Linked DNA regions of Yarrowia lipolytica. The protein of the gene in region 1 purifies or fractionates together with the protein of each later gene. This does not show direct contact. Links are inferred from orthologs where the notes say so. Each region holds a gene or a part of one and is shown on either strand. Other genes may lie near its edges. The genes, in order: YALI1_F09996g and YALI1_D15692g.

Region 1 (5,080 bases):
CCTGGCCAACCTGCATGGAGGAGGAGACATTGACTCTCCTCTGGCTAAGCAGGAATATCGGGAGATTAAGCAGTCCGTTTTGATCCACCGGCTCGAGGGCGAGCGATCATATACCGACATGTGGAAGAAGTACAAGAAGCGAGTGCTGATTGCCATGTCGTCGCAGATGTTTGCCCAGCTCAACGGTATCAACGTCATCTCTTACTACGCTCCTCTGGTGTTTGAAGAGGCAGGATGGGTCGGACGGTCTGCTATTCTCATGACCGGTATCAACGGTATCGTCTACGTGTGTTCCACTATTCCCCCGTGGTACCTCGTGGACAAATGGGGCCGAAGACCTATTCTTCTGTCCGGTGCAGTAATTATGGCTATTTCCCTGGCGTCTGTGGCGTTCTGGATGCGTCTAGACTTTGCACATACACCGGCTCTGGTGGTGATTTCCGTCGTCATCTTCAACGCTGCTTTTGGATACTCGTGGGGCCCCATTCCCTGGCTCTATCCCCCTGAGATTATGCCTCTTACCATCCGAGCCAAGGGAGCTTCTCTGTCAACCGCCACCAACTGGGCCTTTAACTGGCTGGTGGGATATATGACCCCCATTCTCCAGGAGACCATCAAGTGGCGACTGTATTTGATGCATGCCGCCTTCTGTAGTCTTTCGTTTGTTCTCGTCTACTTCACCTACCCGGAGACCTCGGGAATCAACTTGGAAGACATGGACTCGTTGTTCGGCGACAAGTCTGTTGTGAACACCCCCGACTCGCGGTCTTTGCTTGGTGATCGAGACACTCCAGAGCCTGACGTGCCTCACAGTTATACTGATGCTGCCACCGATCGACTGCCTGCTGGTATGCAGGGCTATGGCTCCGCTCCCAGCTCGAGAGGAGGCAGTGTGGTCGGAAGTCCCCGACGAGGAAACAGTGTGGTTGGGTCTCCCAAGCGGGACTTCCCTCAACCTCCGGTATAATGTCGTATGAAGCGATGTTACACACACGGAGCACACTAACCAAGCTCCGAATCAAGTACACTGTGGTGGATTCAGGTTGTATACCATATAGAGAATATCATAGACATGGTGTTGTGCACGAGTTTAGATGGGTAGAACGGCATCAAGCGTATTGTTTGTAGAGGCGGTAGAAGGGTAACATGCGGTTCAGTGCATTCTGTTTCTGGACTTCTAGACTCGCACCTACAGCACAGTATGCAACTTGGGTTGGATAATGTAGCCTACTTGTACTTGTAATTGTAAAGCGTAGAAGTATTTGTATAGGTGAATGGACAATCAATTTCATGTATGGAACCGGTTTCTTTTGAAAAAGAGCTTTTCGTGTCATCATTTTACACTTTGAAATGTCCGTATGAATGACCTGTGATATATGCCACTTGTTTAGGCACCATAGAAAGGACTATCATAAACACTGACATAATATATCTCTCCAGTAAGTGATTCAAGCTGCCTGCAGGCGATATCAAGTGAAGAAAAGTTTCAGGGAATTGTACTTGTACATAGGAACTTGTACTTGTACTTGTTTGCAGTGTACTGTACTTGCAAGATATGTGATGGAGCTTGTGCTTGGCTCTCGATGGCTGCGGTGCTCTATAAATAGCTTTACTAGTCTCTTGAATTCAGACAAGATTACTTGTACTGGTATCTGGCACCAGAATACGGGTCGTGGTTATTGTATGAATATTATATATACAGCCAGTAGCAGTCCCCCTAACTCGTAGGTGTGAATAACTCTGATGTGCGAGGCTGTGCAGTTTCAGATACAGTTTGGGGAGATTTCCAACAGACTGACATTAATTCCAAAGAATAAAACAACGACGGAAATGAAGGTCGGCGCAGAAATCATCCAAAGACCACTTTGTCACTCATATTCACACCTTCTACCGGAACACGAGGCGTCATATTGGGTTGTACAGCAGGGTGCATGTATGGTGCAGCACAACTCTAAACGAAGCAACCCAACGACAGCAAGAGACTGTTCAAACCTGGCACTACAACCCCCCACAAAAATGCTGGAATCGTTGGTTGCCACGATCCTGAATCGTGTGTTGGTGAGTATTGACAAGCACGACATGGCCCCGCTGAGCAAATGACTAACCCAGGGCTCATACGTCCGCAACTTCGACCCTAATCAATTGAACATCAGTGTATGGAGTGGAGATATCAAGCTGAGAGATCTGGCCTTGAAGAAAGAGGTGAGTACGAGGAATGAGATTGGAAGGGAGGGATGTGATTCTGTGAGAAAAATGGCGACAATCGGCCCGGATTTGATTGAATTACGACGACACAACGAGGATTCACAAGAGCAATCAGCATATCCAAGGGATGCAGACAACTTTGTGGAGGACACGTCAAGAGAAATGGAAGCATTGTGGATCAATGGAGTATTATTTTGTGATAATGTTTGCAAAGAACCCTTGTGCTCCGCTTTGGTACTCTATTTCCTGTGTTTACTTCTGGACACCAGTCTGGTCTAGACCGCCTGTTGCCACCAAGGGGTAGATTTGATTGGAATGGCACCAAAACGTTGGAATTTTCTTTTGTTTTGAAGATCAGTGCTTTGGCTGCTGTGGTCCAGCTTAGCACAACCAAACCAGATACCGTTCACTCACGAGCTACGCTTCCATTACTAACCCAGGCCCTCGACCAATTCCACCTCCCAGTCAACGTCGTACACGGGCATTTAGGAGAATTAACCATTCAGATTCCATGGTCCAACCTTAAGAACAAGCCGGTGAAAATCACAATCGACAATGTCTTCATCCTTGCGGTGGCTCGACAGCAGGACAAGATTGATCCGGAAGAAGAGGCCAAACGAGAGCTGGCAGCCAAGCGAGAAAAACTGGAGGCTGCCGAGCTTATGGACCAGTCGAACGAAGACAACCCCGCGCTGTCTTCGGACGAAATCAAGCGTAACCAGAGCTTTTCCGAGTCACTCACTACAAAAATCATCGACAACCTGCAGATTACCATCAAGAACATTCACGTGCGATACGAAGACGTGAACCAGTTCACCAAACAGCAGTTTGCCATGGGAGTCACTCTGGAGGAGCTTTCGGCCATCAGTACCGACCAAGACTGGAAGCCCGCGTTTATTCAAGGAGGAGCTATCGCCAACAAGTTGGCCCGTCTGGGTTCTTTGTCCATGTACTGGAACTCGGACACCGCTAGTCTGGCGCCATTAGACAACGAAGAATTCATCAAAGCCTTCAAGGCGCTGATTGCTGCAGAGTCCAACGCTCTCAGTGACTCGCACCAGTACATTTTGCGTCCCGTGTCTGGAGTGGGCAAGGTGACGATGAACAAGGGTGCCATAACCAAGACAACACCCAAGACGAAGATTGAGCTCATGTTCGAGGAGCTGGGTTTCATCTTCGACTCATTGCAATACCGAGACGTACTGTTCACGGCCTCAGAGTTTCAGCTGTACTACAAAACACTGAAGTACCGAGCTCTGAAGCCCAAGGACGCCAAGCATGCCAAGGATAACCCCCGCGAGTGGTTCCAGTACGCCATCAAAGCGGTGCTGCAGGAGATCCACGACAAGAACAAAGTCTGGAGCTGGGACTACATCAAGGGCCGTCGAGACGACCGACGAGAGTACATCAAGCTGTACAAGCAGAAGTTGGAGGGTACCCTGACGGACACTACTAAATTTGACAAGCTCGAGATGAAATTGTCGTACGAAGATTTGCGGTTCTATCGGTCTCTAGCGACCAAGGAGCTCAAGGAGGAGAAGCCAGAGCTGTTCGAGAAGTCCGCGCAGCCGGATGAGAAGAAGGGCTGGTTCTCGTGGATGTGGGGCACTGCAGACGACAAGGAGAAGGCTGAGAAGCCCCCAGTGGTGCTCACAGACGACCAGAAGAAGGAGTTGTACGACACCATTGGGTGGGACGAGGAGAAGTCTCCTAACGATACGTTTGACGTACCCAAGGACGTTACCATGATGCGTCTTGACGCGTCTCTCAAGTCCGGTTCTCTTCAGTTGTCTCGAGACCAACGTAACGCCAAGTCCGGTATTGCCAAGGTCGAGTTCACGGACCTGTTTGCAGCCTTTTCACAGCGAATCGACTCGTTCGCAGGTGACATTGGCGTTGGCGACATGTTCATGGACGATTCCACAGTCGGATCTGCTTTCCCGCGCATTGTTTCCGGCAAGCAGCTTGCTCAGATGGGTACAGCCACTGCAGGCAACTTTCTGGACCTCACTTTCGAGAACAATCCTCTGGACGGTCATGCTGATTCGTGTTTGAGCGGTAAGATGAAGGCTCTGAACATCATCTACAACGTCAAGTTGGTTGAACAGGTGATTCTGTTTTTCAAGCCCGCCGACAACCATCAGGAGACCCTGACTGCGCTTATGAGTGTGGCTGGTACGACTGTGGAGGAGTTCCAGGCCAAGACTCGTATCGGACTTGAATACGCCCTGGAGGAACATAAGACGATCGACGTACAGCTGGATCTGGCTGCTCCTCTGATTGTCATGCCTCTGGACATCACCAATAAGGAGTCGCCGTGTCTGCTGATCGACGCTGGTCAGATCAAAATCAAGTCAGACCTCGCCGACAAGAAGCTCATTGACCAGGTCAAATCCAAGGCGTCGCAGCAGTACTCGCAGGCCGACTGGGACCGGCTCAAGGTTCTCATGTACGACAAGTTCAACATTGAGCTGTTCAACACGCAGCTGTTGATTGGATCGAACATGAAGGACGCGGTAGGAGATATGCTGGTGGAGCACTCGCCTAATTACGTGATCGACCGGATCAACCTCAAGTTTCTGCTGGAGGTGTCGATTGTTCCTGACGCTACCCACCTGTCTAAGATCAGAGTATCCGGAGAGCTCCCCAAGTTCCAAGCATCTCTTTCTGATGCTCGGTACAAGCTTCTGATGAAGTTCATCGATCTGGCCATCCCTAACACGGACTCCAGTCCCTCGGACACTCCCTCTCATGATATTTTCCTAAGACGGTCAGATTCTCAGTATTACTCTGATATTAACGACAACGAGGAGAAGGAGAAGGAGAAGGAGGAGAAGGAGGCCTCTGCCATTGCCAAGATGAGCGCCCCACAGCT
Region 2 (7,145 bases), on another chromosome or scaffold:
GATTTTTCAAACCGAACTTCTTTTCATCAACCAAGTTGAGCAGACAGATATTGGAGACATAGAGGTTCGCGATAATTCGGTCGTAGAATGAGGGATTCAAAAAGACCACGTCATTGTAGAGGGGCGGTAGCCTTGTGCTTTGCTCCACGTCTTCAATCTGATGACGCACTAGAACTCCAGACAAGACCCTGACAGCGTGCTCAAAGCCGTCGTACCGACCAGCTAGAAGAGGCTTCACGACCGACTGCTGCCACGAGCTAGGGCTCGAACTCCACGGTTCAATCTTGAGAAACTCACCCATTATTCGGCCCAGTTTCTGAAGATCGGACTTGTGGTCGAACAGAGTCGTTGTGTCTAGACGCGTCAATCCGGCTGTAGGCGTTCCTGAGACGACCCATCGACACTCAGCAATCCACTCCTGCCCACAAATGTCCAGAATGGAGTTGTTATTTCCAACCACGTGACCTTCATCTACAATCAGCCGTTTCCACCTAATGTCCTGAATGTGTGAACATGCTGGGTTGGAGAACACCTCCTTCAAGATACTGTTAGTAATGATCACCAAATCGGCGTCAAGAACAGTGTCCAGATCAGGAGCCTTGTCCACAGAACTGACATGGATCACCTTGAGATTCTCCGTGTGCTTCTTGGTCTCAGTGAGCCACTGGAACGGTAGCGAGTCTGGACAAACAAGAAGCGTAGTAGCTGACAGATGGATACGCCTAGGCGGTTTTTGCTCGCGTGAAGCGGCTGTACGACTACTCACTCGCACACGGGGAATATCAGGCATGAGAAAAGTACATCTGATGGAAGAGAGCACTGCAACACACGAAGAAGAGAGACGGTCTGCGTAGAGACCCCAAGGAGCTCCTAGTTCAGCCACCCTTTGAGCCACCAGCACTTTGAGCTGAGAAATCTTGCCATTGCCCGGTAGCTTCATCATCGTTTCAGACAGAGTATCGCTATACTGAGCAGGTACAGTTGCCATCGATTTTCGAGTGGCACATATCAATGCTAAACAAATGCACGTCTTTCCAAGACCCATATTTTCCGCCAGAATTCCTCCTCGAGACAAGCCGGTGGTTTCGGGTAACTCCTTGCGAGCCACCAAATCTTCTGGATGGAAAAAGAAACCCTTTACCGACAAATACCTCGCGCTGACAGCCGTCCTAGGGGTTTCCTCCATGTGCATCATTTGTGAGACTGTTTCTGCCTGGTAAGGGTACAGCTCTGACTTGAGGTTGTCGACATGGCCACTGAATACCGCATCAACATGCGGATCAGAAAGGTCATACTGAGGCACAAAGTCAACAGACTCGTAAAGACTCATGAGAAGATTTTTGCCACTTTCCAGCTCGTCCCTGCTTGCCGTCTTTTTGGCAGGATCATTGCACAGATGACTAAGCCAGCTGTTGAGCCGTTCCTCCGAGGTTACCATCTTTGTGATGACTCCCAGACTGGTTCTATAGAAGGGAACGATGGGTGTCTGTTTTCCTGGTATGTAGAAGAAGGGTATCAAGCGGCTGATTGCCGACTTTCGCTTATCGTGCATATGTTGGAGGGCGAACGAGTACAGGTGCTTGGGTTGGGTTTTGACTCTTAGTTCTTCTGGCACCAGATAGATTCTCAGGGATAGAAGTTGTTTGAGAGGCGTCGAAGTGCATGTCACTCGAATCGCTTTAGTGTCGTACAAATATCTCAGCTCCCTCAAGGGTACCGACAGGTTTGTGAGTCGAAACCAGGTCGATGGGGGCCAGTTCCAGCCGTCTGGGGCTGATTCGCCTTCACAGGGCAGTTTCGGGTGTCCTGTGACGAATATGACGCCCAAAAGAAGCAGGTTGTTGAGATTTTCAATGGAGTCGTTCATCGTGTGGCATTGTGAAGAGTGTCTAGAGTGGTTTCAATGTGTCTCTTGTGGGGCATTAGATGTGGTGCTCTGATGGATATTGGGTCTTGATGCACATCGCATCGCTCAGTTATGTTCCACGCTGAACTCTACTAAGACTGGCATGCATAAACTTGCAGCGCAACTAGTCTTGTACGAGCCGAGCAAACCTAGGCAGTGTTGGAAACAGGGCAGCATATACATCAAGAAACGAGTGAGTGTGAGAAGAGGGAGAGATTTGCGAGGAAAGGAGAGTTGCAAGCCTGTCATATGTCACGTGATCATGTGGCTGACACCCAGACCTACTCCACAGGTTCCTCTAGTTACTAACTCAGACGCATGTCAATGGATGGATCAACGGCTGCTTCACCACGTGCGCCCCAAATCGTGCCTGACGACGACAAGGGCCTGCCGTTTCTGAAGGGCCGCCGAGCTCATCCCATGGAGGGCAAGGTGGATCTTTTGGCAGACTACGAGAACCTCGACTCGGTGCGCCAAAAGTACAATGAGTGGGTGTACAATGAGGTGCCCCTAAACTCATACACGGTGTTTCGAATGGAGTATTCGACCCCAGACCATATGGACCGGTCGTCGAGAGTGCAGGTGGTGGGGCCTCTGGCCAAGGAGTGGATTGAACAACCCCCAGATAAGGTCATGAGGTACTACGCCGGTTCTTCTCTAGGTCCCTTCTTCAAGCTCACTTCGAAGGTGTTCCCTGGAAACCCCCTGAATGCGCTGTCCAAGCCCAAAAAGATGCTTATCTCCAAGCTCAACAAGAACGGTGACGATCTGTTGGAGGAGCTCATGGAGATGTACGATTCCAGTGCGACAGACATGACTGATTCTGAGCTCGAGCCTCCTTCAGACCCCCATTTGCCCTTGGATGCAAGAGAGGAGGAGGAGTCCGAGGAGTCTGACGTGGATCCCGATAGGTTTCTAAGCGCTCAAAGAAGGAAAAAGAGCTTCTTTGGACGCACAAAGTGGGACGAGGTGGGCTCTAGTTCGCGTGACAAATCAAAGACATTCAACCACAGTGTCAAGGAACACGGGTCTTTCCAGGGGTCGCGATTTTCTCGTGGTAGAACAACACCAGAGCTGCCTAGGAGAGGCACAGGTACGTTTTCCGACCAGCTCAACGCCCAGTCTTCTATTCCTTCTTCCAGAAGAAGAGGAACTTTTTTACGACGAGCAAGATCAAACTCAAAGGGAAAGGGGATCATGACAGATAGTGACTACGAGGAGGAAATGGATCTTCCAGATTGCATACCCGAAACAATCGACATGTCTGTACCCATTGTGAAACTTCCTGGATTTGGTTCTAGCAAACGAGAACATCCTTCTAGTCCACACACAGCTCCACCTGGTATCAAGGTCAGAGACTTTAGCGGCAATGCAGTGAACCACTCTAGCGAAAAGAAGAACGACAATAGTGACGATCCGGACGGTACATCTTACAGGGAACCTGTGGGTGTCATGTCTCAACAGCCCCATGGCTCTGCATTGCATTCTTTGAGAAAGTACAGTGGGCCCAACCACGAAGCCTCCTCCGATATCAAGAAGGAAAATGGCATTGGACCACTAGAGATGCCTCCAAAACTGCAACGTGCATCTACTGCACCCTACAATCTGGGCTCTGAGGGTCGTTCTTCCGCCTCAGACGTCCCTCTTTTTACCCAAACGTCGTCTCAAACGTCAGATACCTCCCATGCTGTTGGTTCGGTGGGCACGATCGATTCATTCCACTCGGCCGAATCGAGTTTGGCACCATTGGATGCCGTAGGCGAGACAAACATGTCTGATGCTGATAGCTTGTCCGAGGAGTTTGATTCAGATCTGGACGCAGACAATGAGCCTACACTCCGTGGCTATGACGTTTCGAAGAAAGACCACAAGGGCAAATCCATCTTGATGGCTCCCAATCGCGCAGATGTGCTCAAGGGAAAGGGGTTCCAGCAAGCTCCTGCGCCCTCATCTTTAACTTCTGCTTCCAAGGTGAAGTTTTCTGGTCCCAGTGGTCTCACACCCGGTCAAAAGCTGCGCTGGAAAGAAGAACAGAAGCTACCCGAGCTTCAGGAACAGGATAGTCTACCTGAGAACGTACAGTTGATGGACGGATCTGACGACTTTGGAAACAACGGCCAAATCTCCGATGCCACTGAAAAGGTGATTGATGATTCAAAGGTAGCTGAAGCTCCAGAGGGACCTGAAGGTCAAGAGCCTGATGAGGTCAAAGAAGACGGAGATCCTACTGTTCCACATACCGGTCTTCGTCATGGTAACGAACCGCGGGGTGCTGAAGTCATGACTCCTGCTACTATCGCCGCTGCCAATGCGGGACCTTCTCAGAGTGACTACTACCTTCAGTTTCAGGAAAACTTCATGAACCGGGCAAAGAATGTCGCTGGTAAGATGAAAGACAAGTCTTCGCGTACTCGAGACGCTACGGTCAAAAACTGGAGGTTTTTGAGAGAAAAATCCGCCGGAGAGATTGTGCGGATCGAGAAGATGTTAGTTATGGTCAAGACCAGTCCAGCTCTGCATCTACCTAAAGACTTCAACGAGACAGAAACAGGGGACACTCGAATGTTGGAACGATGGAGAGAGTACATTGTTGTTGCTCGAAGCACAGGTGACCCCTTGAACCCGATCTCGCTGCAATTCTATTCGTCCCGATCCATCAAGGCTGTTGAGAAGGTGACCAAGGGTAAGACTGGCGCCAAAATGTTTCTGACACTTGGCAAGCATGTCAATGTGTCGCTGTATTCATCTCTGGATAAGACCATCGCCCTGTGGTACACCAGCAAGCGTGAGACTGTCATCTACATTCTGCGGGCTCGCTCAGCCTACTCGTCCATTCGGTGGTTTGCATTCTTCTCCGAAATTCTGGGTGCCCGACGAGACAAGGACATGCATGTGCGAGTGCCTGATCTGGCTGTGGTTGTAACTGTTCGGGTCTCTTGGCGCAAGTTCCGACTTATCGACGAGTACATTTCTAGAAATCTTATGGCTGCCAAAAGAAAGTCAGGCCGAGGTGCTGTTCTCACCGCCAGAGCTCACCAATACATTACTGAGAAGGCGCTCAAGGCTCTGGCTGAAAACCCACGATTTAAAAGCACCATTGATGACTGGGTGAATAATAAGCGAGTCGGTCTTGGATGGCGTCGATACGACCGATTAGAGTGGGTCCAGGGCTTTGGAGAGCAGGAGTTGCATGGTTCCTGGGCCCTCAACCGAACGCACGACTTGGAGTTGCGTGTCAAAGAACATTACGGTGACAAAATCACAATCAAGGGAGAGGAGTTGGTGGAGCCCACCCCCATTGAGGGTCATCTGGTGCGTCTCAAGTCTTGGAATGGACAGCTAGGAGGCGCCTTCTCCTCCAAAAAGAACTCGTTCGGTAAGCTTCTTTACAAGAACCTGTACTTTTCCACCCATGACTACTTTCTTTTCTTTGCCAAGCCCGGCAATGCCATTCTTCCTCTTCCCGACGAAGATCTCAAATGCCAGGAAGCCTACAATGAGGAACAGCGGGAGTGGGTGTACGAGATTGCCCCGTTCAAGTCTGAGGAGGGCACCGGTGAGATGAAGGGCACTCCTATCATCAAGTGGCTCAAACCAGGTATCACCGAGTCGGAGTTTCAAAAGAAGGATTCCATTGCTCTGCACAACATGCAGAGACGGGCCGCTCAGATAATCAAGGCTGATGGGTTCATCAACCTCCTTGAAGTTGTCCAAGTTCGTGCTACCAAACGCCAGGAGGACATCGACGACAGTATTGGTAACGAAGACAACAATGTGGACTTTGACGGCTCTCGAATTCTCCATGGAAGCACGTCTCAGGGCCTGGGAGGAGAAGACGGCGAGGTTGATTCTTTCGACGAACACAAGACGTTTGAGTTGGTGATGGAAAACGGTCTTATCGTGCGTCTACAGGCCTACAACTCGCACTGTCGAAACTTGTGGGTCAACAAGCTCAGGGATCTCATTGCCTATTGGAAAGTGGTGGCCCAAAACCAGCTGCAAGTATCTGCCGACTTCCGAACAAACAACATGAAACGTCTCTACATTGACGATAAGTTAGATGCAGCTATTGGAGAGTCGTCTCCCAAGTGGGAAACCGCCCGTGCTTCAGCCTCTACTACGCTGTACAATGTTTCAGGTATCTCGTGGTCCCGTTCAATCATCATGAAGGGTATGCTGTACCATAAGACACGGACCCATGGCTCATTCAAGTTGTACTACGCGGTCCTGTGCCATGGACATCTCATTCTCTATGACGTTTACAGACGAACGCTCGGAGGTATCCCTATGGACAAGGTGGACTACGAGAGATTCAGAGACATCCCTCTCAAGGAGGCCTACGTGTACTCCGGCAACATTGCGGAGTCAGATATTCTGACCCGCGACGAAATGAGCGATCTCAGCTCGGACAAGGTGGTACCTCGCATGTACAAGGACGGGTGGAAGTCTGCCGAGAGTGAGACTCTGCGATGCATCATTTTGTGGTTCCCTCGAAAGAAGGCCGTGACTACAAATTCTGCCACCAAGCTGCGAACCGTCAATCGACTGGGTGTCAGTGGCCATCGGTACATTTTTGTGGCCCGTTCTCGACAGGAGAAGGAACAGTGGGTTATGGCACTGTCGCATGAAATCGAAAAGCTGGTGGAACCGGATTTTGCTGATATCAACATTGTTAATTAGGCCACTAGCATTATATTACTAATACTTTGATTATACAGCCGGCTTAGATACCGATTTGTATGTATCGGCACTCATGTAGAGAAGACTTTGTACCTGATCTTCTACCGTTTTTCACCTGTTTTACGCTTGTATTAAACTTAAAACATTTCTTACAGTCATCTATTGGATATTACTTGTACTTGAATGACTTGACACCACCACAGAACAGATGCTAACATTTACCATGGTGCCACCATACAACGCAATACCAGAAACATTATCGTGCACAATGCCGTGCAACACGTTTATCAAAAACTGTGCCAAACGCAGAAACAGTTTATGCAGCGTATTCGTACTTGTCCTGCTCGATTCGGGTCAGATACTCTCTCTCAATCAGATCGTCAATCACCTTTTTGATCTCGCCAATTTTGGGGTGGAACCGCTTCTTGGACTGCACAATGGTTTCCTGAACCAGCGCAGTATGCTTGAGAGTCTTTCGAGCCTTCATGACACGAACAATCGTGGCTTGCAAGAACCACTTTCGGTCCTCCTCGATTGCCTTCTTTGTCTCCTCAGCCTC

Evidence for each region.
Region 2: the proteins of YALI1_F09996g (region 1) and YALI1_D15692g purify together in Saccharomyces cerevisiae (affinity purification with western blotting; 5 studies listed by BioGRID, with this or other methods). This does not show direct contact. The link is inferred for Yarrowia lipolytica from reciprocal best matches to the Saccharomyces cerevisiae genes VPS13 and SPO71.

The regions. Positions count from the first base shown.
Region 1 is NC_090775.1:997,628-1,002,707, forward strand, and holds the start of YALI1_F09996g (uncharacterized protein), read left to right. Parts: upstream 1-2,016; coding exon 2,017-2,058; intron 2,059-2,109; coding exon 2,110-2,202; intron 2,203-2,645; coding exon 2,646-5,080. Other genes in the region: YALI1_F09965g (uncharacterized protein), read left to right, coding at 1-967.
Region 2 is NC_090773.1:1,564,347-1,571,491, reverse strand, and holds YALI1_D15692g (uncharacterized protein), read left to right. Parts: upstream 1-2,224; coding exon 2,225-6,586; downstream 6,587-7,145. Other genes in the region: YALI1_D15696g (uncharacterized protein), read right to left, coding at 1-1,867; YALI1_D15622g (uncharacterized protein), read right to left, coding at 6,903-7,145. UniProt on the Saccharomyces cerevisiae protein: Recruits the lipid transfer protein VPS13 to the prospore membrane during sporulation, thereby aiding prospore membrane formation.